2 linked regions of the Zea mays genome follow. The protein of the gene in region 1 interacts with the protein of each later gene in a biochemical or structural test. Links are inferred from orthologs where the notes say so. Each region holds a gene or a part of one and is shown on either strand. Other genes may lie near its edges. The genes, in order: Probable protein NAP1-like and Protein PIR.

Region 1 (12,108 bases):
TCAAACATAGAGTCAGTCCATACCTTGCTAGGCAGTGCAAATTGTTACTGAGTCCACCTATATTGACATCATAAACAGCACCGTTCCAAATGTTGGACACCATGAATGCAGCACAAAGGTATGGAAGTAGGATCCAAGAATTATCATTAGCTGCACCAGCGTCTGCCAGAATAGAGTGTACCCACTCAGCATCATGTTTGTCGCCAACACCAACACTGCTCGCAACCTTTCTCAATCTAATTATCTCATTTTTATCAGGTACCTCGTCTGGCAACTGCAAGGCTAATCCTTTGAGCAGAGAATATATCAGAGGCACTTTCTCTTCAAGGACTGCTCCGACGGCCTCAACCAACAGCCGACGGAAAGTTATTGCCTGCCCTGCTTGAATACAGAGGTCAGCCAGTGTTTCGAGGTCAATAATTTGTTTCAGGTTCACATCCCTTTCAATCCTATCGCCGGAATTTACAGTTCCAGCTAGGCCCTCTAAGGCATCACGATTTGACCTCAATGCTGAATCGATACAGTTTAAAAGCGCAGACGTATGCTCCCTTAGCATCTTATCCATTTTATCTATTCCATAGCCACCAAAAAGACGAACAAGTGATTTCATTTCTCTTTTATCTGTAAATGATTCAGCCAAACATCCACCACCAATAGGCTGTGAGCTCCTGAAGCAATTTTGGATTGCATCAAAAGCAACTCCAATGCGAGAAGCGTCCTTTACTACATTCTCAATATACCAGTTGCATATCATCTCAACGGCAGACCCCCCTCCTTGTGTCCCCACTGGAGTCTCAAACATTTGAAGATTGGGAAATGGACCAGTATAACTCTCAGCTAGCAGCACTTCACGTATGCCTTCAGTAAGGTCCATACTAATATGCTGCTCTGCTAGATGGATGATGCCCAGATGTCTTCTTAGAAGAGATTCTATGATTGATGGTCGCTGAATGCAGTTCTCAGTTCTAATCATACTATGAAATCTTCTCCTGAAATTTCCTATGATGCAGTCTCTCATGTACTGTGAAATTAACAAGAATCTAGGTAAGTCAAACAACTCAATGTAATCGTTTTATTTTCAATAAAATCTTAATTTATATAAAAAAAAGTGCAGACAAGGATATGCATGGCAGTTTAAGGAATAAACAACATAAGCAGTAATTTCCTTTTGAAAAATACAAAACTCATTGCATCATTCTTTTTAGATCCTTTTTCACATAAGTTTATTACCATAACATGAAAAACAAGGACACTATCCATCAGCTTAATAGACATGAACCACCAATGATCTTGTCATGGCATATCATTATGTTATCCTAAAAACCTAACATGTCATGCATATTTACTTCACAGTGAACATAAATTGTGCATACCTCGCGTAGAACAAAAACATGGTTGAGAACACCAATAGGCTCCATGTCATTTAGAACAGAACACAAACTTGTCAGCCTTTGCATAGCAGCTTCCAGCCTGTTTTTGAGGCATAAATAATTATACTCAAGTCAATAGAATGATGGAAATATTTAAACAGTGGCGTGAAGTAACAACTTGACTGACATCTTAATTGATGAACTGTTATCAGGATAGCTCTCATATCCTGGAGTTAACAAGCTTGAAACACCCTTTGCTCTTGTGTTATTTAAGCGAAGAGCTGCTTGCTCTGGGGAAAGCTGGCAAGATTTTAGAAGTGAGACTTAAAGCTATAAGCCAAAAATCGTAAAGATAAACTCAGAAATTATCTACCTGCATCTCTAATGAGCCAAATCCACCTTCTGAATCTAGAATATTTATCAAACCTTCCAACCCACCCATGATAGACTCGATAAGGGACTCCACATAAGAGATAGAATCTCTGCCAATTTTGTTAACCTACATTTCAAACAAAGAAAGATTCAATAATAAATATGCCAAACATAGAAGAGAAATGCAGCCCTGTAGAAGAGGAATCTTAGTAACAGATTGGGGACATATTGTTATGTCATAGTAAGAGTTGGAGCATATAGGATTATTATGTCAATGGCAGTTCAAAGCCTTCAAATCCCAGGGCATAGGTGGCTGGCTTATTGCTTAATAGATCAAGCATAGCAAATGTCCATCTCGCCAAGCAAAAACTAACCCTCAAAGCTAGTCATGTTGCCAAGCACATCTTTAGGATGCTGTAAGCATCAAAATAATGCTCAAACTAAACCATATAGTGAGTTCAAATATACACCTCTTCAGGAATAATTGCAGAAGCACATTCTGGAAAACTGCAAGCGGCTCCAAGCCAAGCACAACAATGCTGTGGACGACCTTCTGGGCCAAACATTGTATTTCTGAAGACCTGTGGGTCCCAGCAAAAAAGTACTTACTATCAGCATAAAAGTCTAGTTACTTAGAAATTATTTAAAGGACCATGCAAATCATACAGCAATATAAACAAAATATAAACTTACCGTGGTAAGATGCTGATGATAAAAGTAGAGTTTTTTAAGGCTTCCATGTTTGGAGAGTTGGCTCTCAAGTTCATCAACACATCTGCAGAACATGTTAACTCTAGTGAAATTCAAATGGTCCTTAAAGAATTTTGATTCAAATTCAAGTATTTCAGTTCTTGCCAAAAGCACAATAACAGAGAACAAGAGCTATGCAGATGGATGCATGATAAACAACTGCTTTAGTTATTCTAATTTACCAACTATATTTGTAGTAGTATAAAATATTTTTTTCTCAAACGCGCAGGAGTGCGCATCATTGTATTAAGAGAAAGAGAAGTCCAAAATGGACCAAATACAATGCCCAAACAAGGCCAAAAAAAACAGACAAAGAAAGAAAACTAGACCATGAGTAGTATAAAATAGATGGTATAAAACAAGGTGTAATTTTAGAAGCATGTTCCAAGGAGATTCTCATAGAAATAAAAAACTGTTTCATGCTTTTCTTCCTGTGTGGTGACAAAATGGTCTCCCATCTGGAATTTTGCAATAAAATTCTTTTTCTTGTGGTATCTTGCTTGCTGATGGAAAAAGGAAGTGGAGAGGATACTAAATTTTGGACTGCTCGGTGGCTACACGGTAGTACAGTTGCTGATCTGGCTCCTAATCTTATTCAAATAATTCCTAAAAGTGCAAAAAGGCAGCTAACTGTATCTCCAACTTTGAACACTAGAAAATGGGTTGCAGACATCCAAGATGCCCTCACGGTCCAGGTGATTATCAAATGTTTGAAATTATGGGAATTGGTCGATGACTTTACCTTTCAGCCATCTACCATTGATCAGCACACTTGGAAGCTTACCCATTGAGGGCTTTACATTTACACAAGTAAATCTGCATACGACTCTTTTTTTTCCTGGGATCTATTGAGTTTACACCTTGGAAGAGGATTTGGAAATCTTGGGCCCCGCTTCAGTGCAAGTTCTTATGGTTGGCAATGAAGAATAGATGTTGAACAGCGTGCCACTTATCTAGGCACAGACAGACACATCCTAGTGTTTGCTCTCTTTGTGACCAGGAAGAGGAGTCAATTCAGCACATTCTAGTTTCATGTGTCTTCTCCCGGGAGATTTGGACCAAAATTCTTCTTTTTGTTAGATTGCCGGTCATCGCCCCCCAACCTGATGTGTTCTTTTTCAGCTTGGTAGCCAGCAAGGTACCTAAGGAGACAAGGAAAAGACTTACTCTCTAATCATTCTTGTCGCTTGGTTCTGTGGAAGCGTAGGAACACGTGTGTTTGAGGGTATTAGTTCTAGTGTCTCCAGAGTTTGCCAGGAAGTGGAGAAGGAGCCCAAGCTCTGCTGTTTAGCCAGAAACACGGCGCTTCACAAGCTGCTCGGTAGGGCGCGGAGGCTGAACGCTTGAGCTGTCCTGTAGTGGTCGTGTTACTTGTTTGTGTGCCGTGTTTACTGGTGTGTGTGTGTGGGTGGGGGGGGGGGGGGGGGGCTCCAAGCTTTCCCCTCATGTTTTTGTTCTGTTTCTTCTACCTTAGTGAAATGACATGATGCAGCTCTCCTGCCTCATTCGAGAGAGAAAATAGGAGCATGCAATAGAGCCGTTTATTTATGTTGGCCTAATTAAGATTAAGCACTTTACAGAAGCTGGAGTTCACTTAATACCACACTAACCACAGCAAAGGCGCACAATGGGAAATTGCCATCACATGATTGGGCCTGAGGCCACATGCCATTGACACATAGGATACCATTTTGCAAATCATGATCCTTTCAGAAAATATTGGCAGGCAAAAAGAGTTAAAAAATCTAGCTAAGCTAACTCAAATTAAAGCAGATTATCAATCACCTTGACCAATTATATGCAGCATTGCCTTCTGACACCAAACCCTCCTTCCCAGTAGACACAGTAGCCTTCTCCAAGTGCTTAATGTTTATCGAGGATCGTGAAGATGTGACTATCATCAAGATTGACAGCCAGTGCTTACGCAAATCCTGTAGCATATCAGGTTTGAACAGTTCAAAATGCAAAATTAAATGGAAGACTAAGCATACAGAATTAAATACACAGTTGGTGCCATACTTCTCACTGGCTAATGCAATCGGCAATGTAAAAGAAAACCAATGTGTGAACCTTTCAAGTTTCAACAAGCAACAGAATATGGTGCTTAGATTAACAGCTTTCAACATGATTAAAAATCATAAAATTGTCAATACACAGAAAAGGGGTGAGATAACATTCAATAAACCACAATTATAATGAGTTTGAGGAGAAGCATAGTGAGCACTTCTTTATCAACAAAAATACTCTGGCAGTAAAGCAAATATATTATCGTCAACATCTAGAACTTTATTTTTCAACAACGCCATTAAAAAGTATTCAAAACTACCTTGCAATCTAGAATCTTGATAAATATTAGAACTGCAGTTATCTACATGTAGACTTATAACATGTACTACTGCTCAAATGAAACAGTTTTGAGAGGGAAAGCCTGAGTGCTGGAAATTATGCACAAGAAATTTGAACAGAAATTGTATAATGTTGTGTGGATCAACAGGAAAACCTTTGCATCAATCTACACATTACTGGGCATAGAAAATTGTATTAACAACAAGAATGCAGAAGTTGTAGGAAAATTAGGTCTATCTTCATAGGTCAGTGAGAATTCTGTATATGATATTAGGTTGATAACTTACAGCCAAGTCAGCGGTAATGTCAGGAACACTTTCCCCCTGAGGTTTTGGAATGTTCTCCAGACAATGGAGGACTTGCTGAAAAAGGCCTTTCAGTGTCGCATCTAGGTCAAGAGCAACCATTCCTGGAGTACCAAGTAAGAACCGTATTCTTCCAGCACTGGATAACAAATATGATAAGGCATAACCTTTTATTGCTGCAAAGAGGAAAAGGTATCATTTGATAAAAATGAAAAAAAATCAACACTGCTACTTTAGGACAAACTTAAGTTTTTTTTGTATAATACTTTATTTGTCCAAAAACAAAGAGATGTGCATCAGTATATAAATTCAGCACTGAAAAACATAATCTTCTTAAGGCATGAATGAAAAATTTACTCAACATATATTAATGAATACAATCCTACCAGTTGAATCTAATATGCTATATTCTAAGGTAGTGCTTGCAACATGAACTAAGCAAACATTAACTAGCCCAGAATGGGCCACCAAAATGGCATGCCAGCTACAACTTGTTCACTTGTTCTGACCTCAACATCATAATAAGGTATTTTACTCACAATGACTGCCTTATAACTTTATAAGGCACGGCTAGGACTAGACAAGGAAAAATATTAAAAGAAACACTCAAATAAAGCAACAGGTTTGGAAGAACCTGCTATGTATTTACGAACCAGGCAACAAAGTTTGCCTATTCCATCTAGTAAGAAACCAATAGTTGGGTCTGTCGCATCCTGAAAGTTCAGTCAACAATTAGTATGGAAGGGAACAACATTTCTTTTTTGAGATGACAAGAAACCTCTGCTTTTAGAAAGCAATAGAATACTGGAACAACGACTTATTGAATCCAAGGAAAAAATAATTGCGGAGTAACTCACAATGTCAACAGTTTTCAACCGAGTAGATTTTGATGATGCAATCCCCACATGTTGGAAGTACCAAATCACCTCGCATTGAGACAAAGCAAGAGCAGAAAAAACCATCTGCACAATGTACCAGCATTATTACATCAATTGTGGAATAACATGATCTAAGGTGCTTCCCTCAATATGAAGTCATGAAGATCTTTGAAAGTATATAGATAGAGCCTAATCAAGGCTCATGGAATCTGCCAAGGTTATCTTTATTGAACAGAGAAATAATTTTTTTGTGAAAAACTGGCAGGAGCTCTGCCTTTCAATTAAGATAGGGAAGAGGTTATGTACATGCTTAAAAAACGAAGGAACACCCTACTAACATCATTCCAGACACCACGAAGGTGCAAAAGAACCAAAGAGAATCTACAACTCTATACCTTCCAAGTTAAGGCCCTTCTTTGTTGCTCGATGTCCTGCTTTGCTCTAGAGGCAACTTGCACTGCCGTTTCAAAAGCACCGGTGAAGAACCTTCTGTTCCGTTCTTTCCAGATGTTCCAAATAGTGTAAATCACTACTCCGTTGAATCGCCTTCTTTCACCTATCGGAATCTTGGCTTGGGATACCTCCCACCACCGGGTCAGCTTGGTAGGCTCCTCTGACGGAATGACTAGATTTTCATCGAAATGCCCCCAAGCCAAGGTGAATCTCCAAACAGATTTGGCGAAAGGGCAAAGCAATGCCAAATGGATACAAGTTTCCAGTGGCCTATTACATAGAGCGCAGTGATCTTGGTGAGGCCAGATCCTTTTTTGTAAATTGGCCGCGGTGAGAACTTTTTCCATTGTCATTGTCCATGCGAAAACCTTGCACTTGTTTTTGGCATGTACTCTCCAGATTAGGTTGGACCGGAACAGCCCGAAGGAGCCTCTAAACTGGATACGATATGATGAGCGAGCGGAGTATGTTCCATCTGCCGTCCATCTCCAGAGTATGCAGTCCCTCATGGCTGGTGTAAGGTGGGTGTCCTAGGTTCTGATCCAAAGTGAGATGAACTCCTGTATCTGGATTGCAATGGTGATTTAGCCTCACATCGCGTTGATCCAGTGATTATCCCGGAGCTCCATGTGGACTGATCCGTTTTTTGTCCTAGACATCGCAAATAGGTTAGGAGCTAAGCGGTATGGCGCCTCTCCATCAAGCCAAGCGTCATGCCTGTTGGGAATAGTCCCACATTGTGTGATGAGGGTGTGCAAGCATGGTTTATATGGTTGAGGGTGCAACACCCTAACGGGCTAGCTTTTGGGGAGTGTTGACCCAAGAGACCTAAAGCCCGCTGCTATGCGTGTGAGCGTGTGTGTCGCGACCCGACGGCCTGGGTGGGCGCGCCGTATGTGCGGGCGGTCCAACGGACACGCCATGTGTCGGCGATCCGGTTCCAACAATGCCAAAAACGACATTTGTGGCCATCTCCAACGACGACCCTTGTTGAGGCAGTGAAAAGTGCTCGATCAGTGTCGTCCGCCGGGGTATCCATGCCAACCTAAGGTTTGGTATCATCCACCCATTCCTGCCACAACCAACGAAGGTGTAAAGCCCTGCCAAATTTATCATGGTCTAGAATCCCTAACCCGCCAAAGTCCTTCGGTCTTGTGACCGTTGCCCAATTCACTAAACAGTGACCCCCGTTGGCGTTTTCTTCTCCTTTCCAAAGGAAGGATCTTCTGATTCTGTCGATTCGCTTACGGGCCCAGACCGCGAGCAGGAACACCGTCAGATGATAGGTTGGTATGGAAGAGAGGATTGTTGAGACAAGAGTGAGACGACCAACTCTGTTTAGCCACTTCCCTTTCCAACCACGGAGTCTCTGAGCAATACGTTCGATGAACGGCTAAACAGAGAAGTATTCTCTGGCAATCCATCAGTAGAGCTACTAGCTAGTAAATCCAAAGTAATCATTTCTGCATTTATTTTCTCTTTATTGTGAATTACCCCCTCTTTTGATTATTAATAATATAAATATGAAATATATAGCGCAATATACTATATTTTTCTCAAAAAAGATACTATATACAGATAAGTTGCCTTACATAAAGTTGAATTGTTTACGAGTGTAAACGGAAACAAGAAGTCTAATATGTCTGGTACCCCAGAATAACCGGTAGAACCATACGGTGGGGTACATCTTTTATCATGGTTATCAAGGCGGTAAGGTGATGTGGTGACTGACTATACCTTACACTTAAGCGACTAAAGTGTGAGGTGAGGTGACACTGACACCTTAAGAATTTAAGGAAAATTTAAAACAGCAGCTTAGAGCAGCAGATGATGAAGAGAAAAAAGAAAAGGAACAGAGTAAGAAGTGGGCTGGCCCAGCCCACCAGGCAGCCCATGTTCCCCTCCCCCTCCTGGTGATCATCTACAAAGTTTTCCATCTCGCCATCTACAAAGCTTTGATATTCTGGTGGTCAAGCAAAAGGAACATTTGCAGCAGACCTCTGATATTCTGGCAATCTGGCTTGCTCTGTGAAGGACTTCCCCTGCAAGTATCTTGACCCCCCCCCCTCTCACCGTCCACAAAGCTTCTAAGACTGACCTTCCTTTGGTGAACAAGGTGGCTGATCAACTTCCAGGTTGGAAGGCCTCCCTGATGAACAGAGCAGGGTGCCTCACTATGGTCAAGGTGGTTCTAACTGCTTCTACCATAGTACCATCTATCATGCTAATGCTATTGTCATCGAGCTTCCTAAATGAGTAGTCAAAGCCATTGATAAACGGCAGGGGTTTCCTTTGGAAAGGTCAAGACTCAAGAGAGTGCCAATGGAGGGAGCTGTCTGATTTCTTGGGAGCGAGTCCATGTCCAACGCCCATTGCGATATTGGGGGGGGATTCATAATTTGGAGACTATGTGCTGTGCTCTGTGCATCCTTTGGCTGTGGGCAGAGAAAACTGATCATGCTAGGCCATGGGCTGGACTACAGCTCCAAGTCCCCCTAAAGGCATGATCCCTCTTTCATATTGCCGTAGATTCCTTAGAGGGTAATGGAGAGAATATAAAATTCTGGAATCATAGATGGGTACAGGGGAAGAAAATCTCAGAATTGGCTCCTAATTTAGTTAAGGCTGTCCCAAAGGGGCTTATCAAGAGGACGGTGGCCCAAGCTCTGAATAACCGTGCATGGATAGCTGGCATTATTATTATTATTTTGGGGGAGGGGGGCTTTCAGTTGAAGTCCTAGTCAAATACTTGCTGATTTGGACAATGTGATGCTTCAAACCAATGCCCAAGATCAGTCCCGCTGGAAACTTACTCAGTCAGGCCACTACTCTAGCAAATAAGCCTGCAATGCCTTCTTTGTGGGAACCATTAAATTCGTACCCTGGAAAATTATTTGGGCACCCTGTGGTCCAGATTCTTCATTTGGCTCGCCATCAACAACAACAACAGGTGTTGGACAGCGGATCACCTCTCTAAGACGGGCTTACCCCATCCATCTTCCTGCCCCTTGTACGATCAGGCCGAAGAGACAATTCAACATGTTTTAACCTCCTGTCTTCACTTGGCAGGTCTGGGCCTCAATTTTTCAGAGGATTGGTCTGGCTGCTGCAGCTCCTTTGAGCACTTCTCATAAGTTCTCTAGTTGGTGGAGAACTACTCTCAATGCTGTTCATAGGGATCTGAACCGATGTGTATCTAGGGCAGTTTGGAAGCATCACAACCGATGTGTCTTTGAGGGTTCTGCTCCTCATATTGGCAGTCCTTCAGAGTGTGGGTGATGAGTGTACTCTTTGGTACATGGCCAGAGCTTCCAATCTCCAAAAGCTCCGCGCTAGGTCGCTGGCCCAAAAAGCATAGGTTAGGTGTGGTTCTGGTCATGTATCTATTATTCTATCCAGTGAGCGTGGCACATCTTAAGATGTGCTCTTGTATTTGGGTGAGGCTGTTTTAGCCTCATCTTGGTGCTCTTTTCTATCTTAATGAAATGACACACATCTCTCCTGCGTAGTTCGAGAAAAAAAAAGAATACTTGGGGCCAAACCTGAATATTAGGTGCTAGGAGGCTAGGTTGATCAGTGAAAAATAAAACCATCCTTCCAATTTCCTGCTTAAGAAGAATTCTCCTCTCACGATGCATAGCATCACATGACACCAGTGCTTGCTCATGCACTTCCCTGTAGAGAGTTAACACAAACCATTAACAAACATCTGAAGAATGATGCCAAGTAGATAAAATAAAAAAGAACAAATTAAAAGTAATGAAACCAGAAGGGTAAAATGCTAGGTAAAATAGTTCCCGAGTTATGAAGCCAAAAGAACCAACCAAGAATAGGCTATCTGAACTAGTGGCAAATCCCAAAAGAAGTGAATATGCAGAAAGATTTCAAAAACAATAATCAAAATATAAGGTAAATAACTCAAACTTGTGGAACAGAACCATCTTCACATTACAAGCTATTCTGGAGCATAGAGAAAAGTATATATACAATGACTGTGCAGGACATACGTTAACATTCTCTCAACCTGCTTTGCAACATTGTACTCCAGATCAGCTTCCTTTTGCTTAGTTCGGCCAGATTTAGCCATTCTCTTCGATTCTAGAACTTTTGGAAGAACATAAAGTTGATAATTTTCATGAAGTAAGATGTACTACACAAAAAATGAAAAAAAAAACAAATTAGAATAGTGAATAGTGACACCAAAGAATTAATCTTGCTGCCACATGTCTTTAATTTTACCTCATCTCTGAACAGAGGAAGTATTAAGTTCTCTTTCAGAACAACCTGAAAGTGACCAAGAAGAAACAGATCAAGGCTAAATCACAGATGACATGCTGGTTGCACTGAGGAATCTAGTTTGGTGAATCTTTACTAATTCTAGTACAGTTTCTTGTAACTGATTCATGAAAGATGTCTTCAACCAAATCCATCTAAAAATAGAAATAAATGAATGCTTTTAAAAAGCCAACCATAGCACCAAACGGAGGCTTACCAGATACCAACACAAGACTTATTATGATAAAATGGAGTGAGAAAACACGATGCATGTGCCACTATTTTGGTTGATGTAAGTGCAACACTAAAACCATTATATACACCATAAATTATTAGCTATTCAGGAAAAGAGAGTAGAAACTGACAAACAAAGACATAGGGCATACCATGGCAACATCTATACTGGTCACCCTAAGTAGTTCATCAGGACAAACAAGATATCCTAGAAGAACCCACTCACGGTATGATGTGACATTAGCCAAGTCTTGGGCCCTCTGGGAGGAAACAGAATCAGGTTAAATCTCTAAATTACAATACATTGTTATCATGGTATTGGCAGAATAATGGACAGACATTTATGCTCTCATGATTTATCATCTCTAACAGTGAAAGGTACTAACCATTGGATGGGCAGAATTTGTTAGGATGTCTGGATAACGTGGATGAAATGGACTGAGGAAACCTTCGTTCCTTAACTTTTTTGTATCAGTTGAAAGAAATATAATTGGGCCAACAGCTTCCAGGACCTGAGGACAAAATATTACAGTCGAAGCACCAAAAAAAAACAATTTAGTAGAAAATATAAGTCAGATGCTGTTTTTTTTTCTTGAATACGCAGGAGAGCTGCGTATTTTTGTATTAAGAAGAAGAATAAAATGGGGAGAAAAAACCCCGGTACAAAGGTGTTACATTTGGCAAACCAAAACCAAAAAACACCCCCCAAACAACTAAGACACCTAAGACACCTCTTCTAAATGGAAGAAAGAGAGCGCTTTGGCTCCAGCCATACTCCAACCCATCAACTCCTCCCTTGCAGCTGCCAACACCACCGCAGCGCTAGGGTTACAATTATCAAAAACACACCTATTTCTATGCTTCCACAAAGACCATGCACCCAAAATGACAAGAGAATTGAATCCCTTGGATAAAGGCTTGCCCACCCTGGCAGCACTAATCCTCCACCAGGTTTCAAAACAGACGTCATCATGGGAAGGGCAGAGCTCCTGGAAATCACCTGACCGCAGAAGGCTGAACCAAAACTGTTTTGCAAAACTGCACTGAACCAGCAAATGGTTGATAGTTTCTTCCATCTGGTCGCATAAAGGGCAAGACTCCGGGTGATCCAGGCCACGCTTAGCA
Region 2 (12,767 bases), on another chromosome or scaffold:
AAAAAGTAATCATATCTCATTTGGTGACGCATGAAATAGTGTGATTATATAAAACGGACAAGACAATGATTTAGAGAGAGAGAGAGAGACATGCATATACCTTAAAATAAGATCATGAAATGAGAAAATCAGAAAAGCACTGTGTGGTGACAGATCAAAACCTTCAAATCCTTTCCAGGCTTACCTTTGTTCCTTCAAATGGTCCCCACAAAGTTTTTCTGACAAAATAGGGACCATTTGGAACTCAAAACTTCCAAAGGAGAGTTACATTCCCGTAGGAACATGAAATAACTCCCATCCTATATTTCATGAAAGGCAGTAAGGCACTTGCCAACTATATTTGCAGCAATTAAGGCTACCTTCGAGACCCAGATGAACGTCAAATTCTTTACCATAAAATACAAAAAAAAAAGGTACAGACAGTGTTCACAAGTGGCAATAAACCTACGGAACATACATGTGTGTATATCCCAGGTTCTGCCAGACACGCTGGACATCTCCAAGGCCTTCGATTCGGTGTCTTGGTCTTTCTTACTTGAAGTATTGGAAAAGGTTGGATTCGGCCCTATATGGAGAGATGTGATCAGTGGGCTGCTTATGACCTCCTCTACCCAAATTTTGCTTAATGGAGTGCCTGGAGAATACATCCAACACAAGAGGGGCCTGCGGCAAGGTGACTCACTATCCCCTCTTCTTTTCATCATTGTTATGGATGTTCTCAATGGTCTAATTGTTAAAGCTGCTGATGAGGGACTGCTCCAACCCCTTTCAACTCGTTCCATTCAGCACCGAATATCGCTTTATGTTGATGATGTGGTGATGTTCTTGAGGCCGGCTGCCAGTGATCTGCACATGGTAACCATGATATTGGATTTGTTTGGGGACGCCTCGGGGCTAAAAAACAACGTACAGAAAAGCAGTGTGGCTCCCATTCACTGCTTTCCGGTGGACATGGAAATGGTGACCCACATTTTTCCTTGCAAAGTTGAAACACTTCCTCTCAAATATCTCGGGCTACCTCTCTCTCTCTCTCAGGAAGTTAAACAAGGAGCAGCTGCAGCCACTAATTGATAGGCTTGCGGACCTCTTACCTAATTGGAAGGCCGACTTGATGACTAGGGCTGGAAGAGCTATCCAAGTGCAATATGTACTCACGGCAACAGTTATATACCACGCCATGGCTTTGGATTTACCTAAATGGGCTATCAAAGCCATTGACAAAATTAGACGTGGGTTTCTTTGGAAAGGACGAATGGATGTGCTCGGTGGTCACTGCTTAGTTGCTTGGGGCAAAGTGACACGATCAAAGGAGCTTGGTGGTCTTGGCATCTCTGATTTACAAAAACTGAATTGGGCCCTACGGGTAAGATGGTTGTGGTTGGAAAAAACAGACCCCTCGAAGTCTTGGGCTGATATACCTCTCCAGAGTTCCAGCATACTGAAATCTATCCTCTCTACAGCTATGATTACAGAGGTGGGTGATGGTCGTAACACCTTATTTTGGAGGGACAGATGGTTGATGGGACAGAGGATTGAGGACCTAACCCCTCATGTTTTTGCCCTTGTCCCGACTAGGATTGCCAACAGGAGAACGGTGGCAGAAGAAATTGTGGAGATGGCTTGGATCCGGGACCTGAGAGGCACCATCACTTGGGCTGTCATCTCTGATTTTTTGACTCTTAGTGAAGTTATTGCAGATTTCTCCCTTAGTGATGGAGTGCCAGACAAGCATATCTGGAGGTTTTCCTCGTCCGGCCAATACTCTTCAAAGTCGGCTTATGATATATGCTATTCCTAGGATCCACTTCTTTTGGAGTCTTTGAGCGCGTTTGGGAGTCTTGAGCACCTTCAAAGTGTAGTTTCTTCCTTTGGCTTGCCATGCACAATAGATGTTGGACCGCAGATCGTCTTGCTAAAAGAGGACTACCCCACCCCAGTGTGTGTCCACTTTGCGACCAAGAAGAGGAAACAATACAACATCTTCTCATCTCTTGCGTCTTTGCAAGACAGTTCTGGTACCTCTTGCTGCGCAGGTCCGGGTTGCCTAATCTTTCACCAGACAATGCTCTTTGCAGCTTAGAAGACTGGTGGAGCAGGGTTGTGGAGAAGATTCCCCGAGATCTCCAATCAGGCTTCAATTCTCTAGTTATTCTTGGCGCTTGGAGCCTTTGGCGTCATCGCAACGACTGTGTGTTCAATGGGAGGTCGCCGAGCCTAGCAAGTGCTCTCACCCTCGCTGGTGATGAGCTTAGGATGTGGTGTCGTGCCGGAGCTAAAGGGTTGAACTTGCTTTCAACTCTAGTGTTTATGCTTGACCCAGGGTGATAACCTTGCGCCTTGTTCAGAGTGGTGTGTGGTGGTTGTGTTGTGTCTTGTTGTGTCGTGTGGGTTGAGTTGTGTGTGTTGTGTTGTGTTGTACCTTCTTCTATCTATTAATGGAAAGATACGCAGATCTCCTGCGTGTTCGAGAAAAATAAACCAACGGAGGATATTAGGTAACACACATGAGCCCATATACACAAAGAATTGATTACCAAATAGAAGGAAGTTCATGTCTGTGTGCTTGGGTGCAATTTAATTAATTTGTATGTGTTACATGCTCTGGCAGGGGAAGGAGGCAATCCAGAATGGAGACAGGAAAGGGCCCGTCAGTATGTCCTTTCCGCTCCCGCCCCTGACCTTCCACCTCCGGCCGACGCCTCAGCCCCTCCACCCCACAGCCTCACGCCGGTCCTCCTCCCAAAGGCCAGCGGCCACCCCACTTGCTACCCCGGCGTCGGTCTCCTCTCCTTCTCTCACCGCCCAGTCTTTAACGGTTCTTCCTGGTGGCCGTTCAAAGGCACAGCGATGGTGTGAACATGAGTTTCCATCTGCTGCTTCCCTGAGTCAGTGTGATTCGCGTCGTTCCTATAAGGAGGTGCTAGTGGATGGAAGGTCCAGTGCATGCGGAGCTGACGTTGGTAATGGTGGCTGGGTGAGGGTTGTGGGACGCCGGTTTCACCATCGGAGTCCCCGTACCCCTCTCCCCTCGCAACCCCCTAGACCCGTTCCCGCTGATTTACGTGGGAGGTGCTTCAACTGCTTCTCACCTTCCCACCGTGCGGCCGAGTGTGGCAGTTTGGTGCGGTGTTTTCACTGTCGTCTGCCTGGGCATCGGGTGCGCGCGTGTCCACGTCGGAAGAAGACTCCACATCACCCAGCGAGGGTGTTGGTGTGGCGTCCCGTTTCCAGGAAGGTCATCCCGGAGGAGGTTCCTCTCTGCGCTATGGACGGTGGTTCGCGGGTCGGCGGTGATGGTGATGGAGAGAAGACGATGAAGCGCACTCGCTGTGGTCAAAGGCGCCGGAAAATGGACCTGGAGGTTTTGGGCGCATCTGGTCGGGTTTCATCTTTGGCATCATCACCATTGCCTTCGGTGGTGCCCCCCCCCCTCGTTCGCATAACCTTAGGCGTTCAAGGTTGCTCGACCAGGCGGAGGAGGACTTTCATCGTGCATTGATCGTCAATGTGCTTGGCCAGGGGGATTCTGACTGCGCCGCTGTGATTCTAGATGTGCTTGCCTTGAAGTATGGCCTTGAGGCTGATGCGCTCCAAATCCGACGTGTTGCGTCCAACTCGTACCTGGTCCTCTTCCCCTCTATGGAACACGTTGTTCGTGCCTTGGCTTGTGGACAATCCATCTGCATCCCCCCCCTCCGGTTGCATCTTAGGAGGTGGTCACGCCAGGCGTCGGCCACTGGTGGAGGTGCCCTGCCGGTACTTCTAGATGTTGAACTTGGCGGGATTCCGGCACACCTCTGGGGGATTGATATGGCAGAGCATCTACTCGGTGGACACTGCATCGTTCAAGGATTGCATCCGGATTCTGTTGATGGGATGGACATGTCGATTCTGACGCTGAAGGCATGGGGTTTCTCTATGGATTGTCTGCCTTCTCGCTGTGATCTCCATGTTGAAGAGCTGACGTCTATTGGAGAAGATGGATCTTGTTTCCCTCGCACTTTGATTTACTCTGTTTCTGTGAAGGTTGGTATTTCGGGTGCCTTGTCGGTTGAGGAACAGCCTCCGCCTTCCTCCCCGGATGATGATGAAGATCGTGATAACAAGCATCAGCGTCAGAGGCAGCACCTTCCGGAACATCAGTTCTCTTCGGTCCGGACCTCAGTACATACATATGATCGTGGAGGAAGTTTTAAAGAGTAGAGATAGTGTTGCATACATACATATACTATATGCTATTTATATTTTGCAAAACAGCGCTGGAGGGGGGCTCTACAGACTACAGTCGCCGCGTGATGGACGGGGCGCAGCTGACGCTCGAGCAGAGGGCTTCCAGAGCACAGCAGGATGGTAAGAGAGGAGGGCAGCGGCGTTGGAGAAGGTGCGGCGGCGCTGGAGAAGGGTGCACGCGCGAGCGCGACTGTGCGCTGCGTAATGTGTGTACCGTATTGATACAAGTAGGGCAAAACATTGTTTGTGATGTACAGATGGTGGGTCGGCCCATGTAACAGAGAACGGATTAGTGGCCCAAAACAGGCAAAACTAGTCGACCACTATACCTAGTCGGACGACTAATCGCGATTAGTCGGCGACTAGGACGACTAATCGCTTCCTAGTCGCTCTAGTCGAGTCGGAGACCCTAATCGAGCTCCCTCTAGCAATAAGGCCGACTAATCGCGCCTAATCGCGATTAGTCGGACGACTTTAAAACCTTGAGCAAGCTTTGAGATGCCTCTTTGTTAGTGATGATTGGACTAGGTCCAAGCTATCAAGCACAGAAGCAGGAAAGGTCACAGAGATACTTCTTTCTACAAACTTTTGGAACTCAGTACAAGATTGTATTCGTGCATCACAACCACTCCTCATTGTGTTGCGAATTGTTGATGGTGATGAAAAGCCAGCCATGCCAGAGGTTGCCGCTGCCATGGATATGGCAAAAGCAAAGATCACTTCGGGTTTTGAAGGTAGAGAGGCAATGAAGAGGAAGTTGCTTGCCATTATTAATCGGAGGTGGCAAGATCAAATGGAGGTGAAGTTGTATGGGGCTGCATTGTTTTAAATCCAAATAAGTTCTTTGAACTTCAAAAAAATGATCCAACAAAAAGGGAGATTGGTAGGCTGAGGGCAGCATTCAATGAGGTGCTATGGAAGATGGTTGACGACTATGACCTTCAAGCTATAATCAGTAAACAAGCTGATGAGTATATGAGTATGGCTGGCCCTGCCTTCTCATCGCCATTAGCAATTAGAGAACAACAACAAAAAGAGCCCCAGTAAGTTCTATTACCTCATTAATCATTTAAGTTTTGTATGGCTGGCAACACTAATTCAACTTCTCTTCTCTTTTTTTAGTTCGTTGGTGGGATGCATATGGTGGCCTTGCATTTGAGATTCAATCCTTTGCAAAGCGCATTGTTAGCCTTTGTTGTTCTGCTTCCGGATGTGAGCGCAATTGGAGCACTTTTGAATTTGTAAGTAAAAAATTGTCATTTCAGTTTCTATCTTGTTTTAATTGATTCTAGGACAGCAGCACTGATTCATTATTTAACACATAGATTCATACCAAAAAAAGGAACAGATTGGAGCACCAAAGGTTAAACAATTTGGTTTATATCCAATACAATAGAAAGATGGCAGCTAGGTTCCAAAGATTGCGTGGGGAGGGAAATATTGGTAACCCTTTAATTTTAGAGGATTTCCAATGGGACAATGAGTGGGTGGACAGTCAAAATGAAACAGTTAGAGAAGGGGATGATCTTGCATGGGCTCATGTGGATGATGCAATCGGTGCTTCTAGTTCACTTCAAGGTCGCAACTTCCCAAGAAGAGCCCGATATGAGTCTGTTTATTCAAGGCGTTGTCAAGCTGCTGCTACACAGGAGGAGAGAGTTATGGAAGAGGAAGAGCAAGGCAACGAGGGCAATGAACAAGATGATGAAGAGTACATGCCTAATGATGATGAAGAAGTGGATGACTTTGGTGAATCCCCACATAACAGTCCAACTCAAGCTGGTGCTGGTGGTGAAGAAAATGCAATGGATGATCTTGATTTGGGAGATATTTAGGGTATCTAGTATCTATCTAGCTGCTGCAGCAGCTTAGCTATCTAATGGAGTTTATTTCCTTTCAAGTTTAAACTATATTTTCTTGCTATTTGTTTTCCAATTTGAACTATATGGCTGTTATGACTTATGAGTTTATGACTTATCACTTATGTGGCTGATTTGGTTCAGTTTGAGGCTTCAAATGAGGTAAGACTTGCTGTTTATTTCAGTTTCGTTCAATTTCAGACTTCAAAAAGGTAAAACATCCTCTTTCTTCATATATAATTGATATTGATATATTGTCTATATGAAGCCATTATATAGGCAAAACAGCCACTATATTGGCAAGTCGACGACTAGTCGACTGACTTATCGACTAGTCACCAAGTCGGTACCTTGTCGACTCGACTTACCGACTTGAAAACACTGGTTCACATGGACATCTCTTAAAGACATCAATTCTCAAACAGGGATCAAAATGTTTATGGGTATTGAAGCAGAGAGGACGTGCAATGCAATCAACCAATCACAGAGAAAAAGAGGAACTACATACCAGCTGGTTGATTGCTTTTGTATCTTCTCCTAGTGATAGACGATAAGCAGCAACATCGCTGTACTCTGAACACGAAATTACAAATTTCAATCGACAATGGAGCAGTAAGAAACTGTGGCAACACTTAATATTAATTCAAGTATCAAAGTTTTTCTTGGATAGTATAATAAGGAAGAAATATATGTGCAGTATAGGCATCAGCCTATAGCATCACCATCACAGCCATGTAGAATAATCACTAATGTACTTAAAACTAACAGTATAAAAGGCAATGTTATGTTTGTCGCATACCAATAGGACTGTTAGTCGCATATCTTTCACTAGACAGGAGCACAGCTAACCCCTGCACATCCGGTTGCTCATCCTGAAATTTGGAATATAGCTAAATAATTTGAAAAGTGACAACAGCAAACACAACACATGCATTCTGATACAAAGAAGAATGAATGGCACATACTACAGGATACCAATCACAGAACCAAACAGACTACAAGTGGGAATGTCAACATCTCTCAATCAGTCCAGAGAACCATCAAATCAAAACTTCACTATAATACAATTTGAACCACTGGAGTGCACCTAATATACTAGAGTTGGCAGGTATTGCAAATTTCTATGACATCCTTCTACATTTCACCTATCAGTGCATTTAAAGCACACCGTACATGCCTGGCATTTTGAGTATGGTTGGGTATTAGCAAAGGGAACGTATCCTGTGCTCATAGAGCTCTTGTTTTAGTTTTCGGAATATCACAAGAAAACATCCGGTGGATACCCTCTATTTTATTCTCACGCCACAACACTTCCATAGCGTTCCAGGTGGATTTTGCGCTAAGCCAATTTTTGGTACCGAAATCCCTAAATTCCCACTTCACCTAGCATTCCAGCTTTGAGCACGAGCAAGCAAATGAACTCGTAAGCTACCCGGACCAAAACGCGCAATGCTGCATTTCGCCTATGGATTGCGAGGACGCGCAGATCAGGTGCGAAATTGAGGCTAGGGCGGCTGGGCGGGAACGGGGACCGCGAGGAGGGGCCGGGCGTGCGTACCTCGAGCGAGAAGGTGGAGAGGGCGGCGATGGCCTCCTCAACGGGGATGGCCATGTCGCCGGTGCGGCCGGGGCCGCAGGGAGGAGGCGCGGACGCAGGCGCAGGAGAGCGGTGGTGGCGGAGTGGTTGGGAGTGGGAGCGAGATGGTGCTACCGTTGGTAGAGACTAGAGAGAGACGGAGCCGAGATCGTGCTGAGCAAGGAGGCCGTCAAGGAGAGACAAGGAACTCGTACTGCCCCGGGTGACCTGTGGCAACGGTGGGCCAGACACCCAGTGGGGCGAAGAAGACGAGACGTGAAGTGTACTCGAAGTGAAATGGGAAAGGAAAAGGTAAGTTACCGGATGATTGCGGTCTTGCGGACCTTCGGAGCCGGTGTACTACCGGGCCTGTTTGTTAGAGCCGTGCGAGAATCGTCCCAAATTGGGCCTCATGCCCTCATCAGAACACATTCTAGGCGAGAGAACAACCAAATCAGATTTGACCTTATTTTAGTTTTCGGAATATCATAAGAAAACATCCGGTATCGTCTGATGCGAAATCGAGAGGTAGTTTGTCCAAATCTGAATACTCAAGGAAATGGTAAACATGTGGAGATCATAATTTGTACGAACTACCCCGATATTAACTAGCAGTATGACTTGTATCTGAACTAAGATTAAAACCATCAAGTATCTAATTGATATGATCTAACAAAAACTGTTATACAATCAAGTTTTCTGTATAATCACCGTTCAATCAAACTATCAAACGTTATAAAAAATATAAAATTAAGAGATATAAAAAAAGTATTATATCTAATATAAAGGATTAAAAACGATACAATTTCCTATTTTTATCTCTACTATATTAAAACATCAGTTTCAACGGTCTTTCTGCGTCATCTATTTACAAATAATCACTCACATCTATTTCAAATTAACTCGTTGCAGGCCTATCCCCTCCGTGCAACCAACCTCCACGCCTCAAAACACACCTCCGCATATAAATGGCTAAATAGGCGGCCCGACGCACGCGGGTCGTAGCTCCGGCCTAGGCACGGCACATCGGTCTGTTGACCGTGTCGAGGCCGGCCCGTTAGCACGTCGATCCATTTGGTTAAATCAGCGTAAACTATAAAAAAGTGATCCAAGAGATGGGGTTTAAACTCACGCCCTAATGGGATGAGTGGGAGACACTAGCCACCTGATTGGTTAACTACACCATTCCATCCTGAATCATCGCGTGCGTTCACTTTGGTTAAGCATCTGTTTGGTTACCTGTACGCGAGAAACGGTGATTGCACAAGTGCATGCAAAAAAAGTCATTCTGAGTCCATTTACCTGCATCTGCACATACGCCAGAAATGGTCGTACCTGGCCGACCAGGCTAGTGTGGGACTGGTTATGTGGACGCAGTTGTCGGCGTTTCGAGACCGGGGGGTCTCTAGGCCGACGAGTGAAATGTCGTCGCGTGCCCCAGCCCAGATGGGTCGACGCGAGGCCGAGCGCGAAGGGGGGAGAAAGGTGGCCGGAGACAGGCGTGAGAGAGGTGGAAATCTCGCGGCCTTCGTGTTCGTCCCGTGCCCAGGTCGGGTGCGCTTGCAGTAGGGGGTTACAAGCGTCCACGCGGGAGAGGGAGCGAGCGGCCTCACGCGAGCGCCTGTCTCGTCCTCGTCCCCGCGCGGCCAACCCTCTGTAAGAGGGCCCTGGTCCTTCCTTTTATAGGCGTAAGGAGAGGATCCAGGTGTACAATGGGAGGTGCAGCAGAGTGCTACGTGTCTAGCGGAGGAGAGCTAGTGCCCTAAGTACACGCCGTCGTGGCAGCCGGAGAGGTTTTGGCACCCAGTTGGTGTGATGTCGTGGCCGTCGGAGGAGCGCTGGAGCCTGGCGGAGGGACAGCTGTCGGGGCTATCGAGTCCTTGCTGACGTCCTCTTGCTTCCGTAAGGGGGCGGAGAGCTGCCGTCGTCAGGGAGCGTGCGGGGCGCCATCATTGCCTATCTGGCGGAGCGAGCCAGATGGGACGTCGGTCTTGTTCCCCGTAGCCTGAGTCAGCTTGGGGCAGGGTAATGATGGCGCCTCCCATTGACGTGGTCGGCTCGCGCCCTAGGTTGGGCGATGTGGAGGCTCCTCCGAGGTCGAGGTCGAGTCTGTCTTCCGTGGCCGTGGTCGAGTCCGAGCCCCTGGGTCGGGCGAGGCGGAGACCGTCGGCTGAGGCCAGGGCTGAGTCCGAGCCCTAGGGACGGGCGAAGCGGAGTTCGTCGTCTTCTAGGGCTGAGCCCGAGTCCGAGCCCTGGGTCGGGCGGAGCGGAGTTCGCCGTCTTCAGGGGCTGAGCCCAAGTCCGAGCCCTGGGTCGGGCGGAGCGGAGTTCGCCGTCTTCAGGGGCTGAGCCCAAGTCCGAGCCCTGGGTCGGGCGGAGCGGAGTTCGCCGTCTTCTGGGGCTTAGCCCGAGTCCGAGCCCTGGGTCGGGCGGAGCGGAGTTCGTCGTCTTCCGGGGCTTAGCCCGAGTCCGAGCCCTGGGTCGGGCGGAGCGGAGCTTCCTATGGCGCCTGAGGTCGGGCCTGACTGCCTGTCAGCCTCGCTCTGTCAGGTGGCACTGCAGTCGGTGCGGCGCAGGCGTCGCTGTCCTTCTGTCAGATCGGTCAGTGGAGCGGCGAAGTGACGGCGGTCACTTCGGCTTTGTCGACTGAAGGGCGCGCGTCAAGATAATGGTGTCAGGCCACCTTTGCATTAAATGCTCCTGCGATTTGGTCAGTAGGCGCGGCGATTTGGTCAGGGTTGCTTCTTAGCGAAGACAGGGCCTCGGGCGAGCCGGAAATGTGTTCGTCGCTGGAGGGGGTGCCTCGGGCGAGACGAAGATCCTCCGGGGTCGGCTGCCCTTGTCCGAGGCTAGGCTCGGGCGAGGCGTGATCGAGTCCCTCGAATGGACCGATCCCTGACTTAATCGCACCCATCAGGCCTTTGCAGCTTTATGCTGATGGGGGTTACCAGCTGAGAATTAGGAGCCTTGAGGGTATCCCTAATTATGGTCCCCGACATTAGCCCCCGAGCCTCGAAGGGAGTGTTAACACTCGCTTGGAGGCTTTCGTCGCACTTTTTTGCAAGGGGACCAGCCTTTCTTGGTTGCGTTTTGTTCCGGTGGGTGCGCGCGAGCGCACCCGCCGGGTGTAGCCCCCGAGGCCTCGGAGGAGTGGTTTGACTCCTCCGAGGCCTTAATGCCTCGCGTAATGCTTCGGCTGGTCTGGTCGTTCCCTCATGCGAGCTGGTCGTAGCCCGGGTGCACGGTCGGGTCCCAAGTTCTCGGGCTGGTATGTTGACGCTGTCAACGGTTTGGCCGGAGCCGGGTTTGCGAGAGCAGCCCCCGAGCCTCTGCACAGGGCGAGAGGACGATCAGGGACGGACTCGACTTTTTTACATACGCCCCTGCGTCGCCTTTCCGCAAGGAGGGGGGAAAGCGCCATGTTGCCTTCGGTGGGCGCCGAACATGGTGTCTCCGGTGAGCTGCTGGCGGGTAATCCGAGCAGACGTCCGTGCCCCATTTGCTAGGGGTCGGCTAGAGGCCCAGAGGCGCGCCCAAAAGTACCTGCGGGTGATCTGCCGGACCCGGTCCCCTGTCGACGGGGTCCGAGGGCTCGATGCCTCCCTCTGATGGGATTCCGTTACAAGATCGTCCCCACTGGTCTCGGAAATGTCCTAGGGTACCTCGGGAGCGCAGCCCGAGCCTTGGTTATGTATCGAACGTACCCATGGTCATCCCTCGCTCTGTGTCTGAGGCGGCTGTGAACCCTTCGGGGGCCAGCCTTTGAACCCCTGATCAGTAGGGGGCGCGGAGCCCGAGTAGCCTGAGGCGGTCGTTGAACCCTTCCGAGGGGCCGGCCTTCGAACCTCTGACCAGTATTGGGTGTGGAGCCCACGCGCTCTGAGGCGGCTGTTGAACCCCTCTGAGGGGCCAGCCTTCGAACCTCTTATCAGTAGGGAGGCTCGGAGCCTGGTTCCTTCACGGGGAAGGATCCTTTTCGGGGTATCCCCCTTTCCTGGTCCCTGTTGCAAGAGAGAGAAAGAGGAAAAGGAAAAGGATACGAAATCGAATGACATGGCGTACCTTTTTTGACGCGTTCATTATGGCGAAGGCGAAGCGTCGCTCGCTTCTCCTTCCAGAGGCGTCGCCTGTCCCGCCGCGGAGTTAATGCGATGGGGCGAGTGGTTCGCGGGGCGGACGTTGCGCGTGCGCGGGCCGTTCGAGGAACGGAACACAGGCGCGTCGTCTTCACGCCGTGAGAGAGGGTTCTCTCGCTGCCCCCGGATGGGACGTGAAAGTTGCCTAGAGGGGGGGTGAATAGGCAAGTTAAAACTTTTTCAACAAAAACTAGAAACAAACTGGGTAAAACTGAATTGATCTCGAAATTCACCCAGTTAACTTTGGAAATGAGATGTTCTAAATGATCCACAGGGTTCAAAGTAGTAGATCAGAGAAGGGCACTTCTCAAAATCCACACACCAAAAAGATATAAACAATCTTCCACGGAATGGTGAGAGAACGAAGAACATGAACAAACACAATGAGCAAGAACGCAAGAGACACAAGATTTATCCCGAGGTTCGGTCACACCACAAAAGGTGCCCTACTTCCTCGTTGAGGCGCCCACAAAGAGCCGGGTCTCTTTCAACCCTAATCACCCCAATTAGACCTTTATTTCATAATCAACAACTGATGTATATCCTCAAGTGCTTCTTTTTCCTTAGTGGCTACATAAGTCACAAAAAAAGATAAGATTTGAAAATAATATGCACTTGAGATTCAGTTGTTACCACCCTTGCTACTATCTCCAAATATGATTTATACATTCATTATCGAGCACCCAACTTGATCCATTGAAGGCGTGATCCTGCAAAACAAGTTTAAGCTGCATATCTTGGTACCCAATTTGAATTGGGTCCTTTGAGATTAGTAGGAAGAGCCTTGAGTACCCACACATTCCTTATTGTGGCATTTCTCTTTGTGTAGGCATCCACATATACTTGACAATCATCTTACATGGTTTCAAGTCAATATTTAATCACATATATAAAAGCTAGAGTTAAGAATAGGAGCCTTTTCTCCTTTTCTTGATACATCATTGTGTTGCCTTCTTGATGATGAAC

The links.
Region 2: the proteins of Probable protein NAP1-like (region 1) and Protein PIR form a complex in vitro, tested with the Arabidopsis thaliana proteins (2 studies listed by BioGRID). The link is inferred for Zea mays from reciprocal best matches to the Arabidopsis thaliana genes GRL and PIR121.

What each region holds. Positions count from the first base shown.
Region 1 is NC_050105.1:1,527,320-1,539,427, forward strand, and holds part of Probable protein NAP1-like, read right to left. Parts: intron 11,496-12,108; coding exon 11,370-11,495; intron 11,244-11,369; coding exon 11,136-11,243; intron 10,759-11,135; coding exon 10,714-10,758; intron 10,625-10,713; coding exon 10,482-10,624; intron 10,150-10,481; coding exon 10,017-10,149; intron 6,106-10,016; coding exon 6,001-6,105; intron 5,857-6,000; coding exon 5,778-5,856; intron 5,320-5,777; coding exon 5,126-5,319; intron 4,424-5,125; coding exon 4,278-4,423; intron 2,518-4,277; coding exon 2,436-2,517; intron 2,324-2,435; coding exon 2,213-2,323; intron 1,870-2,212; coding exon 1,744-1,869; intron 1,671-1,743; coding exon 1,558-1,670; intron 1,471-1,557; coding exon 1,374-1,470; intron 1,022-1,373; coding exon 24-1,021; intron 1-23. UniProt on the Arabidopsis thaliana protein: Involved in regulation of actin and microtubule organization. Part of a WAVE complex that activates the Arp2/3 complex.
Region 2 is NC_050096.1:9,478,619-9,491,385, reverse strand, and holds the start of Protein PIR, read right to left. Parts: upstream 7,814-12,767; 5' UTR 7,702-7,813; coding exon 7,648-7,701; intron 6,962-7,647; coding exon 6,889-6,961; intron 6,663-6,888; coding exon 6,598-6,662; intron 1-6,597. UniProt on the Arabidopsis thaliana protein: Involved in regulation of actin and microtubule organization. Part of a WAVE complex that activates the ARP2/3 complex. Interacts with the active form of RHO-family GTPases.